Linked DNA regions of Danio rerio. The protein of the gene in region 5 binds, or shares a complex with, the protein of the main gene of each other region. Links are inferred from orthologs where the notes say so. Each region holds a gene or a part of one and is shown on either strand. Other genes may lie near its edges.

Evidence for each region.
Region 1: exosc2 (region 5) and exosc4 share a complex: the UniProt entries of both Homo sapiens proteins name them as parts of the RNA exosome core complex. The link is inferred for Danio rerio from reciprocal best matches to the Homo sapiens genes EXOSC2 and EXOSC4.
Region 2: exosc2 (region 5) and exosc6 share a complex: the UniProt entries of both Homo sapiens proteins name them as parts of the RNA exosome core complex. The link is inferred for Danio rerio from reciprocal best matches to the Homo sapiens genes EXOSC2 and EXOSC6.
Region 3: exosc2 (region 5) and exosc3 share a complex: the UniProt entries of both Homo sapiens proteins name them as parts of the RNA exosome core complex. The link is inferred for Danio rerio from reciprocal best matches to the Homo sapiens genes EXOSC2 and EXOSC3.
Region 4: exosc2 (region 5) and exosc5 share a complex: the UniProt entries of both Homo sapiens proteins name them as parts of the RNA exosome core complex. The link is inferred for Danio rerio from reciprocal best matches to the Homo sapiens genes EXOSC2 and EXOSC5.

What each region holds. Positions count from the first base shown.
Region 1 is NC_133177.1:2,082,622-2,089,250, reverse strand, and holds the start of exosc4 (exosome complex component RRP41), read right to left. Parts: upstream 4,188-6,629; 5' UTR 4,133-4,187; coding exon 3,962-4,132; intron 1,862-3,961; coding exon 1,655-1,861; intron 1-1,654. UniProt on the Homo sapiens protein: Non-catalytic component of the RNA exosome complex which has 3'->5' exoribonuclease activity and participates in a multitude of cellular RNA processing and degradation events.
Region 2 is NC_133182.1:29,203,142-29,208,423, forward strand, and holds exosc6 (exosome complex component MTR3), read right to left. Parts: upstream 2,651-5,282; coding exon 1,835-2,650; 3' UTR 1,710-1,834; downstream 1-1,709. Other genes in the region: slc38a8b (putative sodium-coupled neutral amino acid transporter 8), read left to right, coding at 2,394-2,803, 3,577-3,638. UniProt on the Homo sapiens protein: Non-catalytic component of the RNA exosome complex which has 3'->5' exoribonuclease activity and participates in a multitude of cellular RNA processing and degradation events.
Region 3 is NC_133189.1:58,543,742-58,550,187, forward strand, and holds exosc3 (exosome complex component RRP40), read right to left. Parts: upstream 4,218-6,446; 5' UTR 4,207-4,217; coding exon of another isoform or gene 3,973-4,206; 5' UTR 3,461-3,972; intron 3,266-3,460; 5' UTR 2,580-3,265; coding exon 2,307-2,579; intron 1,854-2,306; coding exon 1,702-1,853; intron 517-1,701; coding exon 309-516; 3' UTR 141-308; downstream 1-140. Other genes in the region: tcerg1a (transcription elongation regulator 1a), read left to right, coding at 4,922-4,968. UniProt on the Homo sapiens protein: Non-catalytic component of the RNA exosome complex which has 3'->5' exoribonuclease activity and participates in a multitude of cellular RNA processing and degradation events.
Region 4 is NC_133193.1:38,982,525-38,988,907, forward strand, and holds the start of exosc5 (exosome complex component RRP46), read right to left. Parts: upstream 4,117-6,383; 5' UTR 4,113-4,116; coding exon 3,983-4,112; intron 3,844-3,982; coding exon 3,730-3,843; intron 1,272-3,729; coding exon 1,150-1,271; intron 1-1,149. Other genes in the region: bckdha (2-oxoisovalerate dehydrogenase subunit alpha, mitochondrial), read left to right, coding at 4,423-4,536. UniProt on the Homo sapiens protein: Non-catalytic component of the RNA exosome complex which has 3'->5' exoribonuclease activity and participates in a multitude of cellular RNA processing and degradation events.
Region 5 is NC_133180.1:78,504,162-78,510,558, forward strand, and holds the start of exosc2 (exosome complex component RRP4), read left to right. Parts: upstream 1-1,927; 5' UTR 1,928-1,993; coding exon 1,994-2,121; intron 2,122-4,528; coding exon 4,529-4,630; intron 4,631-4,874; coding exon 4,875-4,920; intron 4,921-5,028; coding exon 5,029-5,118; intron 5,119-5,828; coding exon 5,829-5,894; intron 5,895-6,334; coding exon 6,335-6,397. Other genes in the region: spra (sepiapterin reductase a), read right to left, coding at 827-1,130. UniProt on the Homo sapiens protein: Non-catalytic component of the RNA exosome complex which has 3'->5' exoribonuclease activity and participates in a multitude of cellular RNA processing and degradation events.

The DNA.
Region 1 (6,629 bases), on a different chromosome or scaffold from region 5:
TGGGTGCACAAATGGATTTGGGTTGGTGGATAGTTGGATAGTTGGGTGGGTGCATGAATAGAGTTAGGTGGGTGGATGGATGAATAATTGGGTGTGTGGATGGATGGGTAGTTAGGTGGATGAATGCAGGATGCATGTATGATGGATAGTTGGGTGGGTCCATGGATGGAGTTGAGTGGGTGGTTGGATGTATAGTTGGGTGGTTGGATGTATAGTTGGGTGGGTGCATGAATGGAGTTGGATGGGTGAATGGATAGTTGGGTGGGTGTATGGATGGATAGTTGGGTGGATGGATGCAGAGATGGATGGATGGATGGATGGGTAGTTGAATGGATAGTTGGGTGGATAGATGGATGGATAGTTGGGTGGGTGCATGGATGGATAGTTGGGTGGGTGCACAAATGAATTTGGGTTGGTGGATAGTTGGATAGTTGGGTGCATGAATAGAGTTAGGTGGGTGGATGGATGAATAATTGGGTGCGTGGATGGATGGATAGATGGATAGTTGGGTATGTGGATGGATAGGAAGGTGGGTGTATGCTGGATGGAAAGATAGTTGGATGGGTGCATGGATGGAGTTAGGTGGTTGGTGGGATGGAAAGTTGGTGGTTGGATGGATGAATAGTCGGATGGATGATGGATAGTCAGATGGAGGATGGAAAGTCGGATGGATGAATAGTTGGGTGGGTGCATGAATGGAGTTGGGTGGGTAGACGGATGGATAACTGGGTGCGTGGATGGATAGTTGGGTGGATGGATAGATAGATGGATAGTTGGGTACGTGGATGGATGGGTAGGTGGGTGTATGCTGGATGAATGAATAGTTGGGGAATGCATAGATGGATGGACTGTTGGGTGGGTAAATGCATGGATGGATAATTAATTGGGTGGATGAATGGTTGGATCGATAGTTGGGTGGGTGGATGAGTTGATTGACAGTGGGGTGTATACATGGATGGATGGATATTTATGTGGATGCATGGACAGTTGGGTGGATGAATGGTTGGATCGACTGTTGGGTGGATGGATGCATGAATGGATTGTTGGGTGGGTGGATGGACTGTTGGGTGGGTAGATGAAGGGTAGGATTGATAGCTTGGTGATTTTATGGTTGGGTGGGTGGATGGATGAATGGATAGATAGTTGGGCGGATGCATGAAGGGATGGATAACTGGGTGGATGCATGGATTGATGGCTGAATAAATGCATGGATTGATAGTGGTGTGGGTGGATGGATGAATTTCCAGATAGAATCCAGGGAGGATGTATGGTTGGACATATGACCAACTGAGCAGATGGATGAGTGGATGAACAGATGAAGGCTTGGACGGATGTGCTTGAATGATGATGGACGGATCGATTCATGCATGGATCACTGGATGTTAAGATGTGTACAAATATGTGAATTAACTTATGCATGGATGGATGCACAGATGGATGCATGTGTGGATGATTTGGTATACGTTTTTAAAAACATCCAAAGTGCACTCAGTATCAATATACAATATGATTTACGGTGATGGATGAATGAAAGCACAGATGCATGGGGGCATTTAAGAATAGATCAACGACTGATGCAGAGATTGGTGGATGCAAAATTGGGCAGGTGAGTGGATGGATGATAAACGGCATGAACGTAAAGAAGTCCATGTACCTTGACGTAGATGTCGATTTGTGAGCGTGGGTAGAGCTCAGTGAGCACCGCAGCCTCAAAGGTCTGTTTGAGGTGGAGGCTCATCTCGCTGGACTTCCGGTCTCCGTGTGGACGTCTCTTCCTCTCCGCCGTGCTGAACGTGGCCATGCTGTACTGACAGTTGATGATGGCGCGATCATGCAAGGATTTACTGCGAGAGCCTCGAATCTACAGGGACAAAGATGAACTCCAACATGTTATTCAGTTAAACGATGATAAAATATTGGATGTTACACATAACCGACACGTTGGACAACGTTACTGCAGAGATTCTGGCCTGAGTGTTTTGTAATAATTATTGTCTATTATTCACAGCACCATTTTAATCAATTATATTAGACAGTTTAACTAATTAAGAATTATATTATTATATTGAATCCACGAATACTTAAAAACATACGGAAATGTGTTGTTCTTGTTTTAATTTATTTTAAAAATAATAACAAATGAGATCCCACTGACATTCTGACCACTGACAGAGAAAATATTCCCAGTTTCATATATAGTCCTGCTGAAAAATCCAGCTTGAACCAGCCTAGGATAAAGTGCTAATAATTTTGACTTCAACTGATAATCGTTTTGAATAATCGTGATTACAATTATGACCAAAATAATCGTGATTATGATTTTTTCCAAAATCGAGCAGCCCTAGCTAAGACCAGGCTGGAAATGGCTGGAAGTGGCCAAAAACCCACTAAAACCAGCCTGGTCGACCAGTTAAATCCAGCCAACCATCCTAGGCTGGTTTAAGCTGGATTTTTCAGCAGGGTATACAGTTATTGGTTAAATACATCATAATACATTCTGATGATGTCTGTGAGATTTATGTGTTTTTTGCAATGACTGTAAAAAATATGGACGACGCGACAGCCCTTTTTCCCATTGAACGCCTTGAGGGCAAAACGCCTGCTTGACGGGCACAAACTGTCGCAAAAGACTGCTGAAATTGGAGCCAGACATGCGCAGAAGGACTGTCTGATGGAGCCAGAGGAGGAGCCGCGAAAATGAGCGGAGTCGAGCTTCCAACCAAACGCTTTATGTAAAATCAACCACGCCCCCCGAACTGCTCAGCGTGCGTTTGCTGTCATATCAACACAAATGGATGTAATAACGTTAACAAATATGAGGGTTTTATATATTCAATCGCGCCAGCTCCAGGCCGCAACACATAACTTACTCGCGGCGTCGCGGGCTGATTCCGGCTCACATGCGGCAGCGCCGGCTCGCTCGGCCGCCGCATCTGGCTCGATTGACTCGGGCTGGAATTGGGTAGTGAGTCCAGGCATCCGGAGTAGGTCCAGCAGAGGTAACATTAGTCAGTCTGAGCTCTAAGAGATAAGTCTCCGGCAGGCGAGAATCTAGCCGGAACTGTGTTTTGCTATCTGGGTGGCTAGGCGTGTATCAGCAAACTAATAAAGCCCGAAAAAAGCCCTGAACTTAGCGAATAAACAGTGTTCCACCAGGATCATGTATGTCAGAAACTGTAGTTTACTGCTGAACTCATTTTGTCACGGTAAAATAACACAGAAATCGAATAATAACATTTCAGTCTACTTCAGTCTCCTGCCGAAGCTCAGACGCGCTGCTTTGAGAAACTGTCAATCACAGCTGTCAATCACGATGACACGCCCAGCATTAAATTACTGCTAAAAACAAACTGTTTACAAAAATGAGGATCTGCACCTATTTCAGCACAATAACCAGTGCCTTAATCGACCAGAACTATCTTTCGGGACATTTTATTGCAAGTGTAATATTTTTTTTTTATTTGGGCTCAAGTCTCCTTCATTAACACGGAGGAGGCGGGCTTTATGACTTGTACTGCAGCCAGCCCCCAGGGGGCGATCTAACGGCCGAAACCTTCACTCAAAGGTAGGCTTGCGGCACACTTGGTTTTTTGTGTTACACTGTAAATTTTTTATACACGAAAAATAAGTTTATACAAACAATACCTATTTTTAATACTTTCCTTGTTGAAATTTCGTACAATATTGAATCTCTTAAGCTTATTAATAATAATAAGTTTCTTAAAGCTTATGACAATCTTTTTTCTTGATTGATGCTGTGTTTTTTATTTCTCTCTCTCCTTTCTTATTTTTTGTTATTGTATTTTTTCTTCAATGCAGTGATTTTATTATTCTTGTAACGTTATTCAATAAAAAAAGAGATTTATGTGTGTCGCATTTTATTATTAGCATGTCCTCATAATTCACCATATCATTGTAATACCTGTAACGTTATCATACCCAAGACATCACAAACACACACCTCATGTGGCCCATACACCACGGCCAGAGCTTTAGTGTTGCCCTGCTCCAGATAAGCAGACCCGTCGGCCTGCGCGAACACACTCATGCGGGCCTGCACCTTCCGCAGCTCGGTCGCTTTCCGTCCGTCAAGTCGGTAACCCTGATCCGACAGCAGCTCCAGACCCGCCATATCTCTCCGCTTCTTAACTGAAAACACGCGTGTGTGTGATGAACTTCTTCTTGTTGTTCCGCACAGGTCTTCTTCTGCTGTGGATTTTGCTTTCCTTGTGTATCTTCTACCGCCATCTGCTGGATTAATTTGAGTTCTCACTAATGCGAGTAATCCTCATACTGTATTTTAGGTTGTTCTCTAGATGGCAGAGTTAGCTTACTTATGTTAAACCCAATCTTTGAATATTTGTAGCTTCTTATTGTTGTTTTAAAGCACATTAAGACTAACATATTCACACTAACACCTTTAATAGTGTACATGCAGCAGGACTTTTAATTTTTAGTAACCCAGTACAAGCGCTTCCAATGAACTGCTGTTACAAAATCGCAGCGTTTTAGATCTGTTTTCCTTTAAAAAATCAATTATAATGATTTACAATGTAAATTGGGTCTCAGAATTAACAAGAAACAATGCATTAAAATAACATTGTTCTGTAGTCTTTATAGGGACTTTTATTTTACTTCAGGATTTATAATGGAGTTTCTGCGCTCGCCTGCTGCTCAAGACAGTGTTTGATTTGTCAGCTTTTCATCTTATTTTAGGCTTCAACAACTAAATGAATGCTTAAATATGTTTAACCAGTTATATTTTAATGACATTACAACATCGATGCTGTAAAAGGAACTGTATGAAATAAAAAATAGTCACATTAACATTTCACCAGAAGTTTATCGGTAGCCGAAAACACTAGCTGTGCATTATAGCCTATTTTGATTTTACAGGGACTTTAATACAGCAGTTTCCCTCATAGAATCATCATTCTCCAGTCTTAATCAGCACGGTGGTATGAATAAATCAGCACAGAATTCAATAAAAAGAGAAAAGGTAGATTTTTCCTGTACGGCACAAATCAATGTGGCCCAAAATATAGGAAAGTTGGCAACTCTAGAGCGAGTGTCAGCCCTCATTTCTTCTCAAAGGTGTAAAACCAGACTCTGGTCAATAAAAGCCTGTATTGAGAGTGATATGGATGATACGTTTCACTGGGAAAGTTCCCACCAAACCTGTTTTCACTAGACAGCAGCTGTGAGAATCATGTGCATGAAATAAACATCCAACATAGGCTCATTCTGAAAACGTAGCCCTGTATACACTTCTGGAGATCGCAAATTATATAGCCAGCAGAGGGGGGTAGTAACAAATTACATTTACTTCATTACATTTAATTCAGTAAAATTGTTGGGTACTTTTTGAGAACATTTAAAAATTTTTACTTTTACTCTTACTCAAGTAAATTATAAGAGAGAAATCATTATGCCGTGTTTACACCAGACGCGGAATGCGCGGATAAATTGCGCTATTTGCGTGTAAATAGCCGCGTGAACATTTGAGTTTACTCGCTTCATTCGCGCGTCAAATCCGCTTCATTCGCATGTCAAATTCAATTCAACAGACGCGGATTCCCGTGATGGGCAGGGCTTCTTTCTGCCCGGTGACTAGCTTCATAGCTAAATGGCTAACATAGATTGTATGAAGAAAATAACAGTGTTTATGTGTTTTATGAAGACTGAAAAACAGCGTCGATACGTTTCTGAGTCCACTAGTTTCTTTCAGACGTGCATCCAGTTCTGTGAGCTCATAAACTTCTCCAGAAACTGAACCTGGATGACGGAGGCTTTCAGCGGTGCTTCTGACTGAGCCCAGCCCAATTTGATGACTTTTTGTCGGTGTCTGATTGGTTAACGCGGCGCGAATGTCCGCTGAAGCTCAGATTTTCGAACTCGAGTGATTCGCGCAAAACGTGCGCCAAGCGCGTCTAATGCACAAAACGCTCAAATTGCAGCACGCCATTCGCGCGTATCGTGCCATTCGCGCAATTCGCGTCATTCGCGCCGCACCTTTCGCACGTATCGCGCTGCAGGATGTCTATTGGTGCGTTTGTATTTACTTAACATGCAAATCACTCGCGCTTGATACGTGTTCGGCGTCTGGTGTGAACGCAGCATCACTCTTACTTCGCTACATTTGGCGGCGTTCCTCCGCTACTGTCAAATGATAATGAATATAATTGATATGACTTCTTAGCAAATATCACGAGGCGCCGCATTGGAGAGGTTGTGTGGCGAGAGGTTGCTGTAGAGATGCGTCTCCCGCTTCCTGTTGCGCGCGCCAGCCTATATTGGAATTATTGGTTGCAATGGCTAAAGGCGAGAAAGACGTGTGAGTTGGTTTATACTTTGGTCACGCCATGACCATCTGTGAGTTTCAAGAAGGATGGTCACGCTGTCTGTGAAGACTAAGTCACCCGTGACCCCAGATTAATAAAGGGACTAAGCCGAAAAGAAAATGAGTTTACTCAATTTTTAAAGTCAACTAACAGCTTGAAAAGCAATGGGTGTACTCACTTTTTTTTTTTTTTAAAGTAAATTCAACTCATTGCTTTTCACAGTGTGAATGAACAACCCTTTCTGCTTTCATCAGACATTACCTATGTTTCCATCAACCTATTTTTATG
Region 2 (5,282 bases), on a different chromosome or scaffold from region 5:
CTGCATCACTCAGCGATGCAATTTCAGACACAATGCAATCAAATGAAGCTAGTGAAGTCACTGTGACGGGTGGGGTTAGGTAAGCCCATTAATAAGCATTGGATGCAGCCCAGATTGCACTGCACCAGGTCTGCAGCCAGACCCCTCTCGATTAGACACTGGAGTTTGAAGTGACGTCAAAAAAATGTTTATCCATTTAGGTTCGTTTTTGGTTGTTTGTTTTTTTCTAATTGCCAAATTTGTCACTGTTTTGGAGCACACTAGATTACAGATATCATTAAGACTAACATACCGATAGTAACATCTAAACCTTTTTTTTTTTATTACTGATTCATTTTCAGTTCTTTAAACAGGATTCCCACACTTCCACAAACAGCAAATTCAAAGACTTTAAAGTACTTTTTAAAGCACCATTAATTTTAAATAAATCGCTGTTGTAAATCATACACCAACTGTACTTAGTATTTCACTTAGACTTGTTGTTAGATATTTATGCTTAAATGTAGTAATTTTCAAAAATGAATCGTTTTTAACAGTCATGTTTTTTTTTAACAAATCAAATCATTATGTGACAATAAAAGTGATTTGATTTGGATGTTGAAAAAAACTTGAATGTGCATTAATTTGTCAGTTTTATTGTGCAATATTGAAATGAAAGAATTTAAATTTCTCAGTGTTTTGTTCTGTTTTGAATTTATTTGTCTGAAATTCAAGTACTTTTAGGAAGCGTGGTAACCCTGTTTAAAGGGGCAGTTACCTCATAAATAAAAAAAGTGCTGGTTGCTCATACTTGGGTTATCCAAGAAGTAGGTGTCTACTTAATTAAAGATGTCCTATGGTGATTCAAATAATAGTTCTAGTCACGGCCACCAACACAGAGTCTGTGCATCTTGCAGAGATTAAGGTAATATTCTTATAACATTTACTTTCTAGCACAGAACAGTTGATTCATTTCATAGAAACCCAAAGAACCACGGGTATTAACTTGTTTTGCCTGTGTTTTTCAGACTATGAAAGTGCTGCAAGCTACTGACTTGCATTTTACGACTGACCATGGGCAATGGCTTCATCTAAATATCTTAAATATTCTACTAAAGGAAAAAGCCATCTAGACCAGAGATGCCCAAACTACGGCCTGCCATCCTATCTGAGAAGTGAGGGAGAATGATGAAAAGGTTGGTGCCATGCCGCGCGCTTGTCATTTCTAATTTTAATGTAACCTTTTGTTTGTTCATTTAATTGTTGGGTTGCAAAAAAAGCAACTGAAATTAAAAGTTTCACTTAAATGTTGTGCATGAATCACATTTAAAAAAAAAAAAAGTAAGAGTCCTTGATGAGCAAATCAAGTGTCCTGAATATATTCAGCAGTGAACATTATTGTTATAAAGAGGATTGTTTTTTTATTGTAAGATGTTCATTATAAAATGCAAAAAAGATATAATTATTAATGATTTCAGTATTCTTTCAATTTATTTTAAATATTAATAAATAAGGTAATTACCATGGCAACTGTAATGTAATACTTTGGTTTATTTAACTTCAGCTCACCACCTATAATCAACTTTTTTGGCCCCTCATAAGAAAAAGTTTGGGCACCCCTGATCTACACCATGGATGGCATTGAGGGTGCGACAGGAGATTTTCGTTTAGGGGGAAATAATCTGAATACAAAATCAGCAACACCACTGAAATGAACAAATACAAGATCATAGAGGAGATAAAACTGCAGAGGAGTTTATTTAGTTGGTTCGACATTATTACACATTTAAATGTACAAAATTTCAACAATTGTAATCATTTTAACTGTTCTCAAAAAGAAGCGCCAAACAAAAGTCTATTTCTCAGGCGGAGGCGCTTTCTTCTTGACAGCCCGCGTCAGCGCTTGTTGAACCACCGGGTAGAGTTTATGACAGCCGTCCATGCAGGTTCTCATAGCCTCGGTCAGAGTGTCCTCCCGCATCTCCCCGTCCGCATTCAGGCCAGACACCTGATTCAGATTGGGAAGCAGAGCCAAGGTGACGCACCCCTGGTTGTCTCCGTAGCCCTCCTGCCAGCTCCCGCACTCCTCGGCGTATGACGGGTCAACGAGACACGCGTTTCCGCTCTGCCGCAGCGTGCAACCCAAAACAATGTCGTACATCTCGATACCGGCGTCCGCCAGGGCCATCGAAGCGCAGGTCACCGCGTGCGCCAGAACCGAGCCGTCATTCTCCAAAACCATGACATTCACGTCAATCTGAGAGCGCGGGTATCTGTGTAGGCAAACTCCCGGCCGCAAGCTCTCCATCAGAGTGGCGGACAGGTCTCTCTCCTCGCTGCCCTGGATCCAGGCTCCCCGTTTCACGCAGGAAAACGGCGCGAGCCTGAAGTCGCAAACCAGCCGACCGGTTTTCATGTCCGTTTCGTCCCTTCGTTCCGTTTCCTTCGGCCCGTACACCGAGCAGATGATCTTGGTGTTTCCAGCCTCGATGTACGCGGAGCCTTTCGCCTGGCTGACTAGCCCGCAGCGCGCAAACACCGGCCGCACATCTCCGTTCCCGCGGACGCCCTGCCTGCTGCTGGGGGCTTTAGGGGCTTTGTCCGGGGACAGAAAGAGCAACGGGGACTGCGACTCTTCCGGTCCACGAATACGTTTTGTGTCAACCGGCATTTTTAATAAACCCACGTGTTTACGAGAGCATAGCTTACTTTGCAGCGGTGAAACTACTCAGTCTTCCTCGAGGAATCAAATGCTTCGGGATGCTGCAATCAAATGCTGTTTGCGCGCTGCTGCCCTCTGCCGGATAGGGATAACGTGGCAAATGTGCTGTGGCAAAGACATTATGCTTTGTTAGATGTGATGTGCATGTTTTAAAGTCAGGAATGAAATAGTTCATTTGACAGACGTAATGTAGACCTAGTTTAGCCATTTTTCAACACGTTGGATATTACTATTTTGCTGCAGTGTAGATAGTCGAACACTGATGTGACTTGCAGTCTGCAACCATAGCTCAATACACGGTGCTGTTTGTATTATTACTTTTGATAGGCCTGAAGTATGCAGAGAAACATCCTTCACACCATTAATAATGTAAATACCAACTGTTGAAATAATGTGGACATTTTACAATAGCAGCAACACAACGAACAGTCATTTCCCATTGTCAGACAGTCAAGACAGATAATTAAGTTGGACAGAAGACATTTGCCCAATACAGAATCAAAATGATAGCAGTTACACGATACAGCATATAGAAGCAACATAGCAGCACAAATTAACAAACACACACACACACACACACACACACACACACACACACACACACACCATTACACTACTAGCTGGCTAAACTGAAGATGCGAGACAGGATGGATCCATGCATTAATGTTGTTTAGATCAAAAATCTGACTCCACAAAAGTTGTAGCAGAAATCAAGACTCACCTAATCAGTTTTTCAAGCTTCCTTTGTCCAATTTCGGTAAACCATGTTAGTGTTAGGTTAAGTTTGCTGTTTTGCTGACAGGAGTAGCATCATGTTCTCTTCTGCTGCTGTAGCTCATCTGCTTCAAGGTTTGACATGTTGTGTATTCATTCAGAGATGGTCTGCATATCTTGCCTGAAGAGAGTTATTTGACTGTTGCCTTTCAGCTCAAAACAGGTAAATGTCCTCTGACTTCTGCCATCAACAATGCATCACATCCCTTTCCCTCAAAGTCGGCATGACTAAATGCATTGAGTTTTCTACTGTATGTAAATAGCTCGTTTAATTTTTGAGTGGCAGTTGAGTATATACAGTGCTCAGCATAATTGAGTACAGCCCAATTTGAAAATTTGTAATTTTATCCATTTCTCAGTGAATATAGGCAATGAATCCTGGTGCTTTTAAACAAAACAGATTTAATAAACAGAAATATGTATTAAAATAATATATTAGTCACAAAACATATTTAGAAGTTAAAATATTATACAATTAAATTCAAGTGAAACATTAAAAAATTAAATTACAACCTACACAATTTCAACAAAATTTATTTATTTTTTGCTTCTCTTGATTTTTCCTCTTTTTAAAATTTGTATTTAATATTTTTCTGTATCATAAAAAATTTGTTATTTTGTTGGATAGGCTTCAGAACTGACTAATCTATTGTATATGCACAAATATAATATTGTACAGCTTCCTATTACAAATATGAATTTAAAAGAGAGATTTGTGAGGGGTGTACTTATATAAGCTGAGCACTGTAGGTTTAGGCTAATTACAATTGTACAGTCCATGGGCCTCTCTAGCTGGATCTTATAAAAATACTTAATCACAATGAGTGAAACTCATGAAACTTGGCTATATGCAGGGGCGTCGCCAGGGGGAAAAGGTTAGAACGATTAAGAACTATGCAGGGAAGATGCACTCTTTTTGGACCCCCAGAGTTACTATTTGGGGGCCCAATCAAACTGGCAACAAAAAACACCCCAAGCACCCCCATATGTGTGTTTTCTTTTTGGCTTAGTCCCTATATCAATTCAGGGTTGCCACAGCGCAAAAAGGCCAAGTCACTTCATTATTCCGGGGTCGCCACAGTGGAATGAACTGCCAACTTATTCAGTGTATGTTTTATGCAGCGGATGTCCTTCTAGCTGCAACCCATTACTGTGAAACAATGTCCCCCAATGTCCACCACTACGCTCTTCAGTTCGCGACAACACCACATCCGCCACCAATACCAATACATTTAATAAAATAGATTGTATAAATATTGCACAGCATCATAAAGCATGGTTTTCCCAGAGATGGGTTGCGGCTGGAAGGGCATCCGCTGCGTAAAAACCTGCTGGATAAGTTGGCGGTTCACTCCACTGTGGCGACTCCAGACTAATAAAGCGACTAAGCTGACAAGAAAATGAATGAATGAATCAAGCATGGTTTAACATTACAGCAAGTACTTAAAAGTTCAGTATAGGCTAAAGGGTCTAAGAGTTGAGAAGGCCAAATTATTGACCCTTCCATCTATTTTTTAAGACTTCATATTCCTAAATTAATATTAGTTTATAATGCAAACTGTATGCATATTGTATGAATTAAGTGATAAAAGTTCTATTTATCCGTACTCTAAAATTTGAGAAATGCCATAAAAAAGCAAGCTGAAAATTCACAAACAACTTCAGTAATCGAGAGAGACACGTGCCTCGAGTGAGCTCTTCAAACGAGAGTTTGCTCAAAGGGTTCGAAGAGGGTCGTAAAACTAATTAAATTCAGCCACAGCGTTTCACGTCCTTACAAAAATATCCCCGTCCTGCCGTGAATTCC
Region 3 (6,446 bases), on a different chromosome or scaffold from region 5:
GACCACAACAACACTTTCGGTCATTTTTATTTTAGACATTACTAATTTTTTTAACATTCTTCAAAGTATCTTATTTTATATTTAACAAAAAAAACATTTATAACTGACTAAATAAACAACAACAACAACACACACAGGTCGGCTGATTCAGCTGGTTTAATTTTCATACAAAAACTTCCTTGTACAAAAAAAGCAGACAAATAGAAATATCAGAATCAGTGGAGCTCTGAGAGACGACAGTTTTTACCACAGCTCTAGTTATGTGTGTTATTCCCCTCGACAGGCCTCCTGAACAGTGTGTGTGTGTGTTATATTCCTCCGTCCGCCACTCTGCTGAACAGTGTGTGTCTCTGCGCGGTGCTCATGTTCTCGCTGGCCTCCAGCAGGTTGCTCAGGATCAGTGTGTGTTGGACGGTTCTGGCCTTCACCCACACTCTGCCGTTCATGCCCACCACCATCTCACAGGGGAACATCTTCTCCAGATCCGAAACCAGATCACTTTGTGGAGCCAGCAGCCTACACACACATACACACACACACACACACACACACACAAGCGCTCGATCATCACTAATAACTGCACATTTACATGTTCACTTCTCTAAACTCAGGGCTTTTGCTAGTAACGACAATAGCAGAGTCCACTAAAGGAGATCGAGTCTTCTCATTTATGGCTCCTAAACTCAGGTATAGCCTTCCTGATAATGTCCGAGACTCAGACACACTCTCTCCGCTCAACACTAGAGTAAAGACCCATCTCTATAGTAACACACACACTGCTACACCTAACAGTATGATGCATAAGTGTGCTCCACACAGGTGTGTGTTTTCTAATCAGTACTGTGTGTTGGTGTGCGTTTTCTGATCAGTAGTGTGTGTTTTCTGATCAGTAGTGTGTGTTAGTGTGCATTTTCTGATCAGTAGTGTGTGTTTTCTGATCAGTAGTGTGTGTTAGTGTGCATTTTCTGATCAGTAGTGTGTGTTTTCTGATTAGTAGTGTGTGTTAGTGTGTGTTTTCTGATCAGTAGTGTGTGTTAGTGTGTGTTTTCTGATCAGTAGTGTGTGTTTTCTGATCAGTAGTGTGTGTTAGTGTGCGTTTTCTGATCACTAGTGTGTGTTTTCTGATCAGTAGTGTGTGTTAGTGTGTGTTTTCTGATCAGTAGTGTGTGTTAGTGTGTGTTTTCTGATCAGTAGTGTGTGTTAGTGTGTGTTTTCTGATCAGTAGTGTGTGTTAGTGTGTGTTTTCTGATCAGTAGTGTGTGTTTTCTGATCAGTAGTGTGTGTTTTCTGATCAGTAGTGTGTGTTAGTGTGTGTTTTCTGATCAGTAGTGTGTGTTATAGTGTGTTTTCTGATCAGTAGTGTGTGTTAGTGTGTGTTTTCTGATCAGTAGTGTGTGTTAGTGTGTGTTTTCTGATCAGTAGTGTGTGTTAGTGTGTGTTTTCTGATCAGTAGTGTGTGTTTTCTGATCAGTAGTGTGTGTTTTCTGATCAGTAGTGTGTGTTAGTGTGTGTTTTCTGATCAGTAGTGTGTGCTGGCTTGACCTGTCCTAATACACCAGACACTGTGTTTAAACACTCGTCCGCTTCACAAGTGTGTTTCTATAACTCTTATTTTCCCTGCTGCCTGTGCTGTTGAGTGTGTGTGTGTGTGTGTGTGTGTGTGTGTGTGTGTGTGTGTGTGTGTGTAGCTGTAGGTCAGACCTGCGCACGAGTCCCAGCGACACTTTAAAGAGCAGCCCGTCGCCTCCGAACACACCCATCCCGTTGGCTCTCCCGCAGCTGTCGATACACACCAGCTCCGGCTCCATGTCCTTGTTGGCGATGGTGAACTGCCCGAACACCAGATCTCCAACCTGGAGGAGCAAACAGCAGCGTTAGGAGGACTCATACACACCGAACACGACTTTGCTGGGTTGTTTTCCTCCACTCTGGGTTGATGTCGAGTCTTCATTTGTCCTCTTTCTCTGTGTTTCAGTAAATGTGATGATTTCTGCTGAATAATCTGAGTCTGACACACATTATGGGGAAATGCTGTGAGAGTTTTCATAACTCATCAACACACTGTTCACACTGTGTGTGTGTGTGTGTGTGTGTGTGTGTGTGTGTGTGTGTTCACACTGACTCTGCTTGGTTATGTTGTCTGTTGTTGCTCCATTCACTTCCATTATAATCACAGTTATTGACGGTGAAGCCCTGACAGCAGATCATCCTGCATTACTGACTGCTGCTGCTTCCCTGTGGGTCGATCTGTCATTTCACTGTTGATCATGAGTTGTTGCTGCTGGAGTGGCTCTGTCATCATGTACCTGCACGTTGGGTCTGTTCCTCTTGGTGGCTCCTTCAAAGGCCAGGTAGGACAGAGACGCCTGCTCACTTCCTCCAACGTCCACTTTGAAGACGTCTCCAGACTTTGCGGTCACGATGCCGATCACACTCTCACCCTTAGCTGGAACATACTGCAGGAAAGAGCAGAGGTCAGTCCGGAACACCTTCAGCACAGATAGAGGAGCACCACGACACATCCTGACCTGTGCAGTGTTAAAAAGGGCCAGTTCACCCAAACATGAACACTCTGTCATTTATTCACCCTTTACTTGTTCCAGACCCGTTCAGAACACTAATAAGATATTTAGAAAAATGCTGGAAACCTGGAGCCATTGTCTTCCATTTGTTTTTCCTACTATGGAAGTCAATGGTTACCGGTTTTCTGCATTCTTCAAAGTATCTTCTCTTGTGTTTGACAAAAAAAGAAACATGTAAAGGTTTAAAAATACGCTGAGAAAGGGAGTAAATATTCATTCTTGAGTGAACTGACCCTTTAAGATGACTAAAATAAATGATTTATATAGACCAAACGTAGTATACAGCTCTCTATCTCTCTCTCTCTCTCTCTCTCTCTCTCTCTCACTCATATATATATATATTTATTTAGTAGGGTTGGGCGATGTCAACCAATTTGGCAGTAGTGTGTGTTATTGTGTGTTTTCTGCCTAGTAGTGTGTGTGTTAGGTTGGGTTTTCTGCCTAGTGGTGTGTTTTTTTTTTTCCAGTAGTGTGTGTGATTGCGTGTTTTGCCTAGTAGTGTGTTCTAGGTTGTGTTTTCTGCCCAGTAGTGTGTGTTATTGTTTGTTTTCTGCCCAGTAGTGTGTGTTAGAGTGTGTTTTCTGCCCAGTATTGTGTTAACGTGTGTTTTCTGCCCAGTAATGTGTGTGTTCTGCCCAGTATTGTGTGTTATTGTGTGTTTTCTGCCCAGTAATGTGTGTTTTCTGCCCAGTAGTGTGTGTTATTGAGTGTTTTCTGCCCAGTAATGTGTGTTTTCTGCCCAGTAGTGTGTGTTATTGAGTGTTTTCTGCCCAGTAGTGTGTGTTATTGTGTGTTCTGCCCAGTAGTGTGTGTTAGGTTGTGTGTTCTGCCTAGTAGCGTGTGTTATTGTGTGTTTTCTGCCCAGTAGTGTGTGTTACTGTGTGTTCTGCCCAGTAGTGTGTGTTACTGTGTGTTCTGCCCAGTAGTGTGTGTTATTGAGTGTTTTCTGCCCAGTATTGTGTGTTATTGAGTGTTTTCTGCCCAGTAGTGTGTGTTATTGTGTGTTCTGTCCAGTAGTGTGTGTTAGGTTGTGTGTTATGGCTAGTAGTGTGTGTTAGGTTGTGTGTTCTGCCTAGTAGTGTGTGTTATTGTGTGTTTTCTGCCCAGTAGTGTGTGTTATTGTGTGTTCTGTCCAGTAGTGTGTGTTAGGTTGTGTGTTATGGCTAGTAGTGTGTGTTAGGTTGTGTGTTCTGCCTAGTAGTGTGTGTTATTGTGTGTTTTCTGCCCAGTAGTGTGTGGTATTGTGTGTTCTGGCTAGTAGTGTGTGTTAGGTTGTGTGTTATGGCTAGTAGCGTGTGTTATTGTGTGTTTTCTGCCCTGTAGTGTGTGTTAGTGAATTTTCTGAACAATAGTGTGTGCTGGCACATGTTGTGTGTGTGTGTGTTCTGACCCGTCTCTGCTGACAGTTGACCCAGTACATGTTGGGTTGTTTGTGTTTCAGGACTCCTGCTCTACACACACGGATCTCCGCTCCGCTCCGCCGCAGCCCCGGGCCGCAGATCAGCCTGTCCGCTTTCGGGTTCGCGTCTCCGGCTTCAGGAGGACTGAAGGAGAACAGCAGATCGCCTGGAAGAACCACATCTCCTATCCTCTCCAGCAGACTAGTGTGCACTGAGGAGTCCATGATGGAGGAGCGGAAAACACACACAAACACACGTGTCTGAGCACTTCCGGCACGGGGACTCTTATCCTATACAAATTAACTCATTAAAACCTCTCCAACCCTTTATGTCCACAACAGAAATATATTATAAAGATTTTTCTAAAAGCATTCTTAATATCATTCGACACCGGTAACCATCGACATCCATTATAAGAAAATAAATTCTATTGAAGTCAACAGTTAACGTTACTGGTTTCCAACGCTTAAATAACTTGTGTTCAACTGAGACATGGAATTAAACCGGTTTGGGACATGTAACGTTAACGGTTGAGTAAGTGATGGCAGGATTTATTTTAAGGAGATCTACCCCATTTATTAATATTTAGTCTTTGATTGTTTTTAAAAACGAAATATAATTAAATCGTAAAAACAATCAATAAATCAAAAACTGGATAAAGAGAGGGAGAACGTGCTAACATTCCAGCTAACACAAATCTTCCCCTTTAATTTAGGTTATTTTTGGGACTAATTAAACTAAAACTATAACTAAAATAACTTTAACTAAATAGGAACGTTCTGGTAACCAAAACTGTTGGCCAAGTTACTGGACTATACCGAAAAATGCATATTTTTTACCAGTTAAGTTAAATAATTCATACTGGAAATAAAAGTCACGATGTTTCAGAAGTTTGAAAACCGCTGAGCGGGAAATGGGGACTTTTGTGGCATTTCCGTTATGGCGGAGCACACAGAGGCAGAAGGCATCGGCCTGGCTGCAAACAGGTGCAGTTTTCGCTTTATTTTTCCCTCTCAGATAAACACAGACCCCCGGTTATCATTCGCCTTAGTTTATCCCGAAACTCCTCTGGGCTTCGTCTCCAATAAGGCAGATTTGAGTGGGTTTTAGCCTCGTCTGGCCCGTCGGAGGGTGGACAATGAAAGCAGCACAGCAGCAGTCGCCTCACTGTGTTTATATCGCAGTTTCCGCCGAGAATAAGAGCTTGAGGACACACACCGAGTCTCAGAAATAACCCTGTCAGTGTGTAGAGGGTGTGATGTGGCTGTGAGATCAGCTGGACAGTGTGTTTATGATGGAGTCAGTGCTTCAGATTCAGGTGTACTGTAATGAACACCTTCAGCAATGCAGGAGTCAGTGCAGACACTCCTCCATCATCAGTATCTGGGGTTAAAGTGTGTGTTCTGCTCGTCTTCAGCGTGTTTATGGTGTGTGTGTATCTGTTATTAACAGTGTTGGGGAGAGTTTCTCTCGAAAGTAACGGATTACAGTGTCGCGTTACGGTGTTTTAATGCAGGTGATGTGCTGTGAAAAGGCTGGAACTTTGCTTTTGGCTGAAAATGAGTTGTTGACGCTTTTGGGATATGCAGGATTTCCTTCAACACATGGACATGTTCCTTGAGCCACTTGTGTTTTTTTTAATTGTCACATTGCCAGTTTCCTAACAACAATTATTTGATTTAAGTAATTTTTCCTCAGTGCTACAGTAGAGCTGCACATGATGCTATGATATGACTCGCTGCCTGTCATGTTTATGGTGATATGTATCAGGCATGGGCTGGTATTAGTTTCTGACCGTATGATAACCTTGGACATAAATATCACGGTTTCACAGTATCATGTTATTGTGCTCACTGCTCTGAAATATTTACTTTTTAAATCTCTGGTTAAAAAACTAAACTTTTTTTTCCTTTTTTAATATATATATTCTATTTTGGGAAACATTTAAAATATTTTAGAGCAGTAAACATGTCAGGCTAAATCATTTTAATGAATCATTCACTTCTGCAGTCTTTGTTTTTTTATAAACACTAATATTTTTCCAGTTTAAAACAGAATCTTTGATTATATTTTCTGCTGGAGATACTGCTGTCCTTAAAAACAAAACAAAAATTAATAAAAAAAAAAAAGAAATCTTATTTATACCTTAGGAACGGGATAGCGGAAAATTTTCATGGTTTTAAAACCTTGACTTTCCCAAACCATGGTATACCTTGAGTCGTCCCATGCCAAATATATATATATATATATATATATATATATATATATATATATATATATATATATATATATATATATATACATATATATATATATATATATATATATATATATATATATATATATATATATATATATATATATATATATATATATATACGAGCAATTCCGTGCAAATGTCAACCTTGCCATGAAGAAAATTAAGTTTTCCTCAAAATACCGAAACCGTTTTTTTTTTTTTTTT
Region 4 (6,383 bases), on a different chromosome or scaffold from region 5:
TGCCACCTTTTTTTATTTAATGCATTTGTTGTAATATCCATTCATTTTTTTGTCGGCTTAGTCCCTTTATTAATCCATGATCGCGACAGCGGAATGAACCGCCAAACTTATCCAGCATGTTTTTTCACGCAGCGGATGCCCTTCCAGCTGCAACCTATCTTTGGGAAACATCCACACACACTCATACACAACGGACAGTTTAGCCCACCCAACTCACCTGTGCCCCCTCTTCATTTTGCATTTATAAAAAACTGTTTTGCTGGTGTTGGCAGCATAAACCCTTTAGATAGGTCTGTTCAAAAAAACCTTTTCTAGCTTTTATATGGAGTTTATTGAAGCATAACAGCAAATTATAGTAAGGGTGCATAAACACACCATGTTTGCTATGTTTTGAGAGCTGAGATGCTTATTTTAATTTTCTCAGACATATCAAGGTAAGTACGCAAAGGTGCTCTTACACTTGGTTACACTCACACAATACTCTATATAAAAGCCAGAAACTAATGCTTTTTTTACACTGCAACTAATGGCCAACAGTAAAAATTACTAATTGTACCTCTTCTCAAAAGAGAAAAACCACCACCAATCAAGAATGCATAACAATATGGTTTCATGACTTTGCAATCAAAAAAATGTCATTATAATGGAAATCAATAGGGCAAAAACAGCCACTAACATAACGAAAAGGACCAGTGTAGTAAACTTGCCCTGCTGAGTCTATTGTTGAGGTTTTTTTTTTTTTTTTTTTTTAAATTGCAAAAATTTGTCAAAATAAAATGTCACCAAAATCATTCCGCTTGCTGAAACAAGTTGTGGCCAAATTAAGACTCAAAATAACCCCAGAGTGGATGAAAACATTCCTAACAAGCGTTAAAACATAATAAAATTGAAGAGTATTAAAAGAAGCCAATTATTCAAATCTTCAATTTTTTTGTACGTTTAGTCTATATTGCCACTTTTTTCGTTTTAATACATTCATTGTAATAAAACATACTAATCTTTAATACTCAACCCTAAATATTCAAAACAAACTCCTCCCTTCAACGGTAAGTGACTAAAAAGTTCAAACAATAAAACCACGGACACATCATATTTGCCCCCTCTTCATTTTGCATTTATAAAGAAGAGTTTTGCTGGTGTTGAGGATACAGATCCATCATCGTGGACGACCTGCAGGATGACCGTGAGAGAAGAGCGTGGATGAAGGGTCAACAGAAGGGCAGCTTCACAAGTCTCACGGACACACTGCTCTCTCGCTCGCTCGCGGACACCTAACACAACACATCGCACCACAGTATGAGGAAGTTTAAAAAAATACTGTACCAGACTGACACCTAATGCTGAAACATGGCTGTGCAGGCCATGCAATTATAACTATGTTTACTATTCTAGTATGAGCTGTATATGTGTATTATTAAACATTAATAATAATAATAATTAGTAATAATAAAACACTGACTAAATAAAAACAATTTACATAAACGACACACATTTTTTATGGCATAACATTTTCTTCCTGACATGTAGTTTTAAGACTCCCTTTAAACAGTTTATACTCATGTAGGTAATTGTTTCTTATATTATATTAAATAAAAAAGTGACAAACAATTCATATTTATGTTGCATTAGTCTGTGTTATATTGGGTGTAATTAGTAACTAGTAACAAAGTGGCTAGTGTTTGGTCTGGGACATATTAGGTGTAATTAATTACAAAGTAACGTGTTACTGTAATTACTTTTGTACTGAAAATGTAAAGTAGTAGGTTACTTTTCATGGATGGGTAATTTAATTGCAGTTACTTCTAACATACTTGCCTTAAATACTGTAAATAAGTCCAACAGTTTTGAATAAATCAATTCAAAAAAGCAGAAGGAAATGTGTCCAACAACTTCACATACTTAAGAAACAATGAAATGTTTTAGAAATGCATGCCAATATATCAAAATATTAGTCATCTGCATACAGTACAAGCTACTTTTTACTCAGTTAAATTCATTGAACTGAATATAGATTGGATCCATTCAAAATTCAAATGTCTAACATTTTAAGAGAGGCACGTTTTAAGACAAAAAAAAGCAATATGACAATGTTCAAAGGTGATTAGGGGATTTTCTTTTAATAACACTAAACAATTTTGCTATAATAGAACTTTCCTGAAATAACCGAAAAAAGCCAGTGCAGTTTGCTATCTGTAAATTATACATATTTCTGCTTTAAAAAAAAAAAAACTAAATCTTTTTTTTTTTTTTTGAACAAGAAAGATGTTTTATCCCAAACTAACCCAAACTAATGGTGCACACCAGCTGCTTTTCCAGTGCACAACTGGCATAATGCACATAAAAGATTCATGCCTGATATTTGTATATATATTGTATTTTGTTATTTTGTAAAAACTTTAGATTGTTCAAAAGATGTGCAATGCGTTTCTATTATTTAATTATTAATTATCTGTATCAGTCTTTCACATTATAGCTGATATGCTAAATGCAGACAGATTTAAGTTAATCCAACATCAGTGCAATGATAATAATACAAAGCAAAAAATAAATAGATGAATATACATGTAGACATGTAGATCTCACACACTTTTTCATATCGATTTTTTTAAAGAAAATGATTCTGTTCATCAAGGCAGCATTTATTAAGTAAAAAAAAATAAAAAAAATTAATTAATAACTGCTTTCTTATTGTGTGTAGTTTCAAATGAAGTTATTATTCCAGACTTTACTACTTTTATTACTATTACCATTACCCCCATAATAACAGCAATAATAATAACAATTTATATCAGAGCGATTACTGAAAGATCACATGACTCTGAAGACTAAAGGAAGCTGACAATTTATGTGTAAAATCACTGGAATAAATGATTTTATATAAAATATAATTTATTATTTTATAGTGCAATAACATATCACAATTGTCCTATATGTCCTGTATTTTTGTTTAAATAAATGCAGCTTTGGTGAGCAGAACAAGCTTATTTTAAAACATTTAAAAATCCTACTGACCCCAAAATTTTGACCAGTAGTGTAAATGTACAGTTGAAGTCAGAACTATTAACCCCCATTTGATTGTTTTTAAAAATATTTCCCAAATGAAGTTTAACAGATTTCACAGTATGTCTGATAATATTTTTTCTTCTGGAGAAAGTCTTATTTGTTTTATTTCGGCAAGAATAAAAGCAGTTTTTAAATTATTTAAAACAATTTTAAGATCAAAATTATTAGTCTCTTTGTTTTTTTTTTTTTTTTTTTGTTTTTTTTTGTTTTTGATAATCTTCAGAAAAAACTATCGTTATACAATAACTTGCCTAATTATCCTAACCTGCCTAGTTAACCAAATTAACCTAGTTAAGCCTTTAAATGTCACTTTAAGCTGGATAAAAGTGTCTTGAAAAATATCTAGTCAAATATTATTTACTGTCATCATGGCAAAGATAAGATAAATCCATTTTTAGAAATGAGTTATTACAACTAATATGTTTAGAAATGTGTTGAAAAAATCTTTCAAATATGTTGATTTGTTGAAGATAAAGGTAATTTTTTATAAATTTGTAATATTGTCATAACATGACATATAACATTAAATTAATTAAAACTAAACTCCATTCCAATGACGCGATTAAATATATATATTTGCATGTACACGTTTTTATTAAAAAATATTAATAAATAATGCAATTACTGTCAAAATATGGCTGCAAATAAAACTGTTTAAAAACATACTTGGAAGCCCCATTTTGGGCTGTATAAGGACCTCTACAGTTGCCCGATCATATATTTCCTTGCTGACTTTAACCTCAGCTGGTCCATAAACTCCAGCCAGGATACTCGTGTCCCCTAAAAACACATTTACAAATTCAAAACGATACATATTTAAATGAATGGAATAGATCTCTGGATATTCTTTGGCCTGACAGATAAATAACTGCTATGACATGAGTAAAGAAATAAATTACATTAAACATTTATAAATTACCTTGTACAAACGTGGACGACCCGTCAGGTCTTGATAACAAACTCTGTTCACTTCCATATTCTCTTAAAACTGGACAACTTCGCTCCAGCTCCATCTCGGTCCTCATGCACAATCTGCTCGTCGCATCCATAAATGGGTCATTGTTTTGAGCGCACAATAATGACGACATGACACATGTTAGCAGTGCACTTACGCCCTCTAACGGAATTAAGGATGTAATGACACATGTATAGCGACTTTATAAGCACGTTTCTGCTTGTTCCTTTTAGTTATACACACTACCGTGACCCCAATCAAATTTAAAATGTACATAAAAGGATACATTTCTCAGACAAAACCGTAAAAATGAGGAGTAACATTTTTCCTGTAGGGGGCGCAGTGTGTTGGATTTCCAGAGACGAGGAGGGAAAAGACGCTAGAGACACGCACTTGACGTAAAGATGGCGGCTGCTAGAGCTGTGAAGAAATTATATGGCATTGGGCTTCATGCAATTCGTCAAAACACAGCATTAAAAGCAACAACGCTTCTCCAACAAAGGGGATTCCGCGTCAATGTAAGTCTTACGTTTATGGCAGCTGCATATACGCCACCAACGGACTTTTAACATTAGCAAAACTTGCCATTCAGGTTGTATGAAGTGTGTGTAGCCGTGGGAGACCGAAAACATTTCCTAGAATTGTATGAGACTAATATTAACAACATCTGTATAAAGACGTTTTATGCTAGTTTCAAACATAAAAGCTACTGAACTGTCTTAATAATGTAAATGCTAATGTATAAGTTAGGTGTTCCTCATCTGACCTACAAAAGAAATAGTGCTCAATGTCACATGGTCATGATTGTTTTAAATGCAATAACTAGTGGTCAGATGTCTGAAGATTGTTGTAGGTAACAGTTAATGGATCCTTCAACCTTCACATGTCTGTGGATTTATACTCAGAGCTGATTGGCTAGTTGAAGGGGGCGTGTGGATGAAAAAAACAACACTAATCCTGACTGTTATGGGTCATTAAAAAATCTTTACATTTTACAACTTATTTGCATTATTAAATTGTTTCATATTTAAAGTGGATCTTAATTATGAGCTAATGTCTTGTGCACATTTAAATTACAGGTGATAGTAAATTCTTCTCATGCGAATATGTGACTTTATCAATATGCAAACCACATACACACAAATTTAAAGAGAATTAACTTTTTATGCAGTGTACATCCCTAGCTTAGGGTAATTCACTTTATTCCCTGCCAGTTTTTGGGGAAGTTACTTTGACAGGGTATCCACAGAGTCTTAAAATGTTTTACATTTTCAAAATAAAATTTTAGTCCTTAAAAAGTTCTAAATTTGCTGAAATATTGAATTGTAGGTCTTAAATCATTACAAATAGGTTGTAATTTTCTAATATCCATGTAAAGCTTCCCAAATCAGGCCAACACCTGTATACAGTATACACTCACCAATAACACACCCCAATAAAACTTTTAACAAAACTCTATTTAACAATATGGTTCCTCATAATAACTTTTTTATGTTCTCCGGGGATTTGTAGACCATATGTGGCGGGGACACTGACCTTAAAAAGACTATTGTACATTTAGGTTAATAAAGTTTTTAAAGCTTGTCAAAGAAAAGTATGTATGGTTTGCTTGTTTTGACACATTTAAGTATTAAGTAATTAGATTTTTTTTTAATGAGGCAAGCACAAATCTTTACGGTTTAGTCCTGTACAAGTCTGAAATTTCATTCATAAGGGTCTTAAAAAGGTCTTAAAAAGTCTTAAATTTGACTTTGAGAAACCTGTAGAAACCTTGATAACCTACAAAGCTACCCATCAGGACAAGTAGCTAAGCTTCTGTATTGTTTTTTTTTTTTTTTTGTACAGTCAAGTTTCTTCTTATTATCCCTGTTTAATGGCAACTTTTTTGTTAATTTTACTTTTCATTTATTTTTTATTGAACATATAGTAAAGTACAACTTGGCATTATCAATACACCTTTATATTACAAAAAAGGAAACAGGTGCAAATAAAGAACAAATAATTTGTTATATAAAATATCTATAAGTAAATTATTAAACATAACTAAATCTTAAAAAATAAATAAAAAGGACCAGGGGTTTTCCTATAATTTATACATTTCTATTAAAAATAGAAGATTAATTGCACTTTTTGTTTTCATTATCTTGAGAGATTTTTTTATATGAAATAATCTCATTATAAAAAGCACAAAACATTGGTTTCACTTTTAAATATTTTGATTTATGTATGTAAAATTGTCCAAGCATAAGGATGTTGTTAATTAGAAAGGCATTTTCCTTACTGTCCATTGCAAGTCCATAAATGTTGTCATTCACATAAAAGATCCTGAGGTGTGGAATCTTTGGGTAAAGCCAGTCAAACATCT
Region 5 (6,397 bases):
ATTTCATCACGGGGTAACATTTAACTTTACAGAGATGTTACGTTTCCTCACACCAAGTAATGATTTCAAAACAATCTCTATACAACACTAAATGTATCCACAGACATAAACAACCGAAACAATCACATCAACAAACCATTGAGATAACAAAGGATATATTATACATTGAATGCTTACCACTGAACTGAGGTTTAGACATGCCTTTCTCTTTGGTCTGTAGACAAGCGGTTTCACGTTACGTTAGGCTCACCTTATGTCAGGTATTCAATAATAAAAAATAAATTTTACGTTACATGGAATTATTCGATAACAAGACGAGAAAGTATAGCTATAGTGAGTCAGGCCGTTACAAAACGACGGTTGATTTTTAAATGAAGGTTTTGACCGTTAGAATTTAGGCGCGCAGAACAGAAATTCAAATAAATGTGAGGTTTTGATGCCATCTAACGTTCCTCATTATTACTGAGTAAATCATTTATGACTATTTTAATATTTAACTAATTATTCCACATCTTGATTAATTTAAAATTTTCATAAATGCTGTATTTACAAATTTAGTTCTGTAATTCTGCAAAATATAGCTCATGAATTACATGAAAACAAACATCAAACATACAAAACAAATCAAATCATAAAGGTTATGTATGTTTTTTTTTTTGTTTTTTTTTTTTACGTGTCCCCTCTTGAAGTTCTGGGAAAGTTGTTTTATGGTTGGAAAAAAAGTTAAATCTAAAAAGAATTCGCAAAACGTTATCTTTGGCTTTAAAAAACTAACGTTAACAGGAATCAAAATCTAACGTTAAGGGAACGTTGAGTGTTCTCTGACCGGCGTTATGGAAGAGCAGCAGGTGCTGGATGTCCGGCTGGATATCTCTGGTCTCGGCAATGAGTTTTTCCACTCCTGCTTCACAGCCCAAATCCACCGGGACGCAGCGGACGGTGAGGCCGGTCTCCCCGCGGGTCAGCGCGCTCTTCAGCTCCAGCAGCTGCTCCTCCGACCGAGCCGCGAGCACCAGTACTGAGCCCGGAGATACACGTGCCGCCACCGACAGAGCCAGAGCTCGGCCGAAGCCCCGGGATGCCCCGGTGATGATGACCAGTGCTTTCCCGAATCCCGAAGCCGTGCTCATGATTCCCCAAGGACTGACGAGAAGAGCTGCCGAAGAACCGGAGAGTTCAGCATCGATTAGTCACGCCTCCGGAAGACACGAGAGACCCCGCCCACTTTATGGTTTATTAATAAAATAATAAACTGTGAAATAGAAAATTTATGACTCCAGGAATACACAAAAGAGTAAATATAAAACAAAACAATAGACAAATGAGTGAAAATAACAAACAATACTGTAAATGGGGTTAAAAGAATGCTAAAAACATCAAGAAATAATTAAAGAATCAGAACAGTGATAAATATATATACAATAAATCTATACAAATTTATATTAATAAATATATACAAATTTAAACAATTTACTAGATACAGTAAATATCTAGGCCACGAGATCAATTCACACAATAAAACAATACATAAAAGATATTTAGGTGTATGAAAATGTGTAAATAGTAACAAATATAATAATAAATATAATAATAATAATAATAATAATAAACATAATAATACATGATTATTTATATAATCTCATTCTTTTAAGAACCTGTGTTTACACAATAAAAGAATAACAAAAATAAATGTAGAAAGCAAATTGGTTCTGAAAAGTATAAAATTATTTTGTTAGAGCATATAATGTTAACTTAATGTTTTAATGTATTAAAGTTTTGCTATATTGTCATTTAAAATGTTAAATATAAAAAGTCTCTTAATTCTCGTTACAAAATAAAACCTCACACATTGTATAACACGAACTTAAATCGTTATTTAATGACCAAATTCAGATGATTAGATGCTCAAACCGAACACGAACACAGTCGGGCTTTTATTATGAAGTGGAGCCGTGCTCGCCGCCATATTGCCCGGCTATAGTGTTGTTGAAGCATGGCGGTGGAGATGCGGCTTCCAGCGGTTCACAAACACGTTTCCCTGAAAACAGGACAGAGTTCCCGCGAAGACAAACACCTGGTTGTGCCTGGAGATGTGATCACCTCCGACACGGGCTTCATGAGGTACACAGACATTAATAACTGGTATTAACTGAGCTGTTGTAGAATAAATGTGTGTGTGTGTGTGTGTGTGTGTGTGTGTGTGTGTGTGTGTGTGTGTGTGTGTGTGTGTGTGTGTGTGTGTGTGTGTGTGTGTGTGTGTGTGTGTGTGTGTGTGTGTGTGTGTGTGTGTGTGTGTGTGTGTGTGTGTGTGTGTGTGTGTGTGTGTGTGTGTGTGGAGTGAACTCGTTGAGACCTGCAGTCTGTCAGTCTGTAGCGGACTTGATTGAGAACTCAAGTTAGTGTATGTAGTGTATTTGTTCAGTGTTGGAGAAAGTTACTTTACTGACAGACTCTTCTGGAAAGTAACTAGTTGCGTTACTTTTTACGGTGACGCGTTACGTTACTTTTAAAATACATTATTTACATGTGTATTGATTGAGGTAAAGTTGGTTTGTATTTGCACGTTCGTTCATTTTTGAACGGTGATAACTTGTGACACGTTGCCTGTATTGTACTTTGAGTATTCGGTCTGAAATCGCATGTAGTTTGACTTAAAAACAACATCAGCACTATTTAATTGACTGTAAACAATGTTGTACTCTGATAGTCATTGGCTGCTGATATGAGTTCATTATTAAAATTTGTAAAGATTACTTTTTTGAAACTGTATTATTAAGAAGAAAGTCTGAATGTGCCAATATAAAACCCACTTTACCTCAATTGTGGATTGCTGTAGCAAAGTAATGCTTCACAACTCTGAAAAATCAGTCATCAGATATAAATACTAGAAAGATTTTAAATGATATATTATTTGATAAAAGTGCTCTATGTTTAGACTGTAATATTATGCTTTAAAAATGCAACCGCAAACATTCCCACAGGTTGTAGGGTTAAGGATTAAAACTTGTTTAAATGGCCTTTCCAGCGATTATATAGTTTGTCATGATTAGATTAGTATTTAAATGCAGTATAGTGAATTAAACTTAATCGTCCTGCCACTGAGACGTTGATTGTTAATGGGTTAAAACAGAACCTCTAATGTGCCAGTAAAACATTTCAATAGCATTGACTAACAAAGTCACCAAAACAGAACTTCACAGTCTGCATAAGAAGTCCATGCTTTATAAACGTCAGGGACTAGTATCATAGAGTTGTAATGATAGGATAAAGTCTGCATGAGAGCGATTATGCATTATGGATGTGACATTTTAACAGTGCTGTAAAATACAAGCCTACTCAAAACACCGGGAAAGGGTTTGGTGTTTTTGTGAAGAATGTATTTGTTTATTTTATGGCAAGGTTGACATTTGCATGGAATTGCTCAAAATCTAAAAGGTCCAAGACAAGTCTAATATTATTACTGATGTGTCTAGCTCTTACAAAGCCGGACTGTGTCTCCACAATCAGCTGACTGATTCTTTATCTTTAATCTGTTAGGAAATATCAAAAATAAATTTATCGTCAACAGTGATGAGCGTGATGGACACCAATTATCGGTTTGGGAACACCTCGTTTCATTGATGATGTCTTGTCTTGTCTATTAGATCAATGCATTCATTATACATCCAAAGCAAAGGGTTTTTAATTAATTTGTGGAAAGAGCATACCAATCTTGACGGATAATCCATCATTGCTGGGAGATTTACCTTTCTTCATGGACGATTCGAACTTTCTCCAAGGTCAAATTGGAATCAGAGTATATTAAATTCAGAACTGGATCATGCGTTTCCATTTTATTTACAAAAACAATCCTTACATTATCTGTCAAAAGCAGAAGTGTAAATGTTTTACTAAAAATCTGTAACAAAATTAACTATTAATTAATTTCCGAGTGCCCCAACTTTCTCTTTTTGCGTGCACTCTTGCGTGTCTATATCTGAAATAATAAACCTGAGCTCATGGTGAGAACTTGTGTGTGATTATTAAAGTATTTTTCACATCCATTTAGAAATGGCCAAACATGAAAGTCAAGCTTAAACAGCAATGTTAATATGGCTTAATAAATGTTTTATAGCAGTCTAGGAATAGAATCATAGCTTGTGATGTTTATAGTCTGCATAATCGAAAAGGTCTAAAAAACTGTAATATTATTACTGATGTGTCTAGCTCCTACAAAGCCGGACTGTGTTTCAGCAATCAGCTGAAATCTTTAATCTGTTAGCAAATATCAAGGCTAAAATTTTATTGTCAATAGTGATGAGCGTGATTGCACGCTAATTATCTAAATTTTAGATCAATGCATTCATTATACATCCAAAGCAAAGGCTTTAATTAATTAGTAGAAAGAGCATATAAATGTGCCGGTCAATCCATCATCGCTGGGGTGAAACAAGAGCCCTTTAAATTTTGCTTTACTGTCTTATTGAATGTGAAATTCCAATTGTGCGAAGATAAAAACCGTTTTCATCTGACTTCACCTCGTCCTCAGGGGTCACGGCACCTACATGGATGAAGACAGACTCACCGCTTCAGTGGCAGGACAGGTGGAGCGAGTCAACAAACTCATCTGTGTGAAACCGCTGAAGACCAGGTGCACACTGACTTACACTAACGCCACAGCACAGGTCTCAAACTAAATTCCTGGAGGGCCGCAGCTCTGCACAATGTGCCCCAACCCTGATCAACTGTGTTTGATTGGCTTGGAGCAAAACTGTGCAGAGCTGCGGCCCTCCAGGAGTTAGAGACCTGTGCACTACAGTATAGCACACTGCACTTCACTAATGTATAATGCTGTGGTAATACTGTGTTCTAGATGTGATGTTCTCCTCCTGCAGGTATAACGGAGAGGTGGGTGATGTGGTTGTGGGCAGAATCACTGAGGTCAGTGGTGTTCAGTAGTTTATGTATAAAATCTCTCGTTGTTGTTGTTGATGATGATGATGATGATGATGATGATGATGATGATGATGTGCATCTCTAAATGTTAAGGTGCAGCAGAAGCGATGGAAAGTGGAGACTAACTCGCGTCTGGATTCAGTGCTGCTGCTGTCGGCGGTCAATCTGCCTGGAGGAGAGCTGGTGAGCTGGCAACACGCATTCAAGGGGCAGTTCACACACAACTCAGTTACAATACTTTAATGAATGCTCCCGCACTCTCTACCATTAACTATAGTGGACTGATAAATACCCCGCAGTTGGCTTGTTTGTTTATATTATTATAGTTGTTGTGTTACCATAGCAACTGTAGAATTACCACATCAGAGCAATTACTATTGTGGTTGTGTTACCATAGCAACTGTAGAATGGCCACAACAGATCAATTACTATAGTTGTTGTGTTACCATAGCAACTGTAGAATCACCACAACAGATCAATTACTGTAGTTGTTTTGTTACCATAGCAACTGTAAAATCACCACAACAGAACAATTACTTTTGTGTTTGTGTTACCATAGCAACTGTAGAATCACCACAACAGATCAATTACTATTGAGGTTGTGCTACCATAGCAACTGTAGAATGGCCACAACAGATCAATGACTATTGTGGTTGTGTTACCATAGCAACTGTAGAATCAGCACAAAAGATCAATTACTATAGTTGTTGTGTTACCATAGCAACTGTAGAATCACCACAACAGATCAATCACTATTGTGGTGTTACCATAGCAACTGTAGAATCACCACAATAGATCAATTACTGTAGTTGTTTTGTTATTATAGCAACTGTAGAATCACCACAACAGATCAATTACTATTGTGTGTGTGTGTGTGTGTGTTTTTTTCTCAGAGACGTCGTTCCACGCAGGATGAGCTGGCCATGAGGGATTATCTGCAGGAAGGAGATCTCATCAGTGTATCCTCCACATTTACCGCATCAGACATTCATCATCCCTGGATATACAAACAGTGTTCTTACTGTAAAAATACAGTCATTTAAAATAGGTATCAGCATTGAAAGAAAGCTGAAATATATAATAAAAATGTTAGCTTTCTTTCAATGCTAATACCTATTATAAATGACTGTAAAATATGACCTTTTTTATTAGTGCTTGTTTAATAAATACATTTATATTTGAGTTTTGGAAATAAAAAGTCATTAATATTAGCACTTATTTGTCTAATTTAGCATGAATCATTTTTCCAGCCTTATTTATTTTTGTTAGTAAACCTATAACTAGGCATTACCTGGGAAAAATAAAATATAATATTTGCAAAATAGATCAAATGTCACAGGAGGCTAATAATTCTGTCTTCATCTGTATATATTCTACTGTATTCTTTAACGTGTGTAAGGCGGAGGTTCAGTCGATCTTCTCGGACGGCGCTCTCTCTCTGCACACGCGCAGTCTGAAGTAC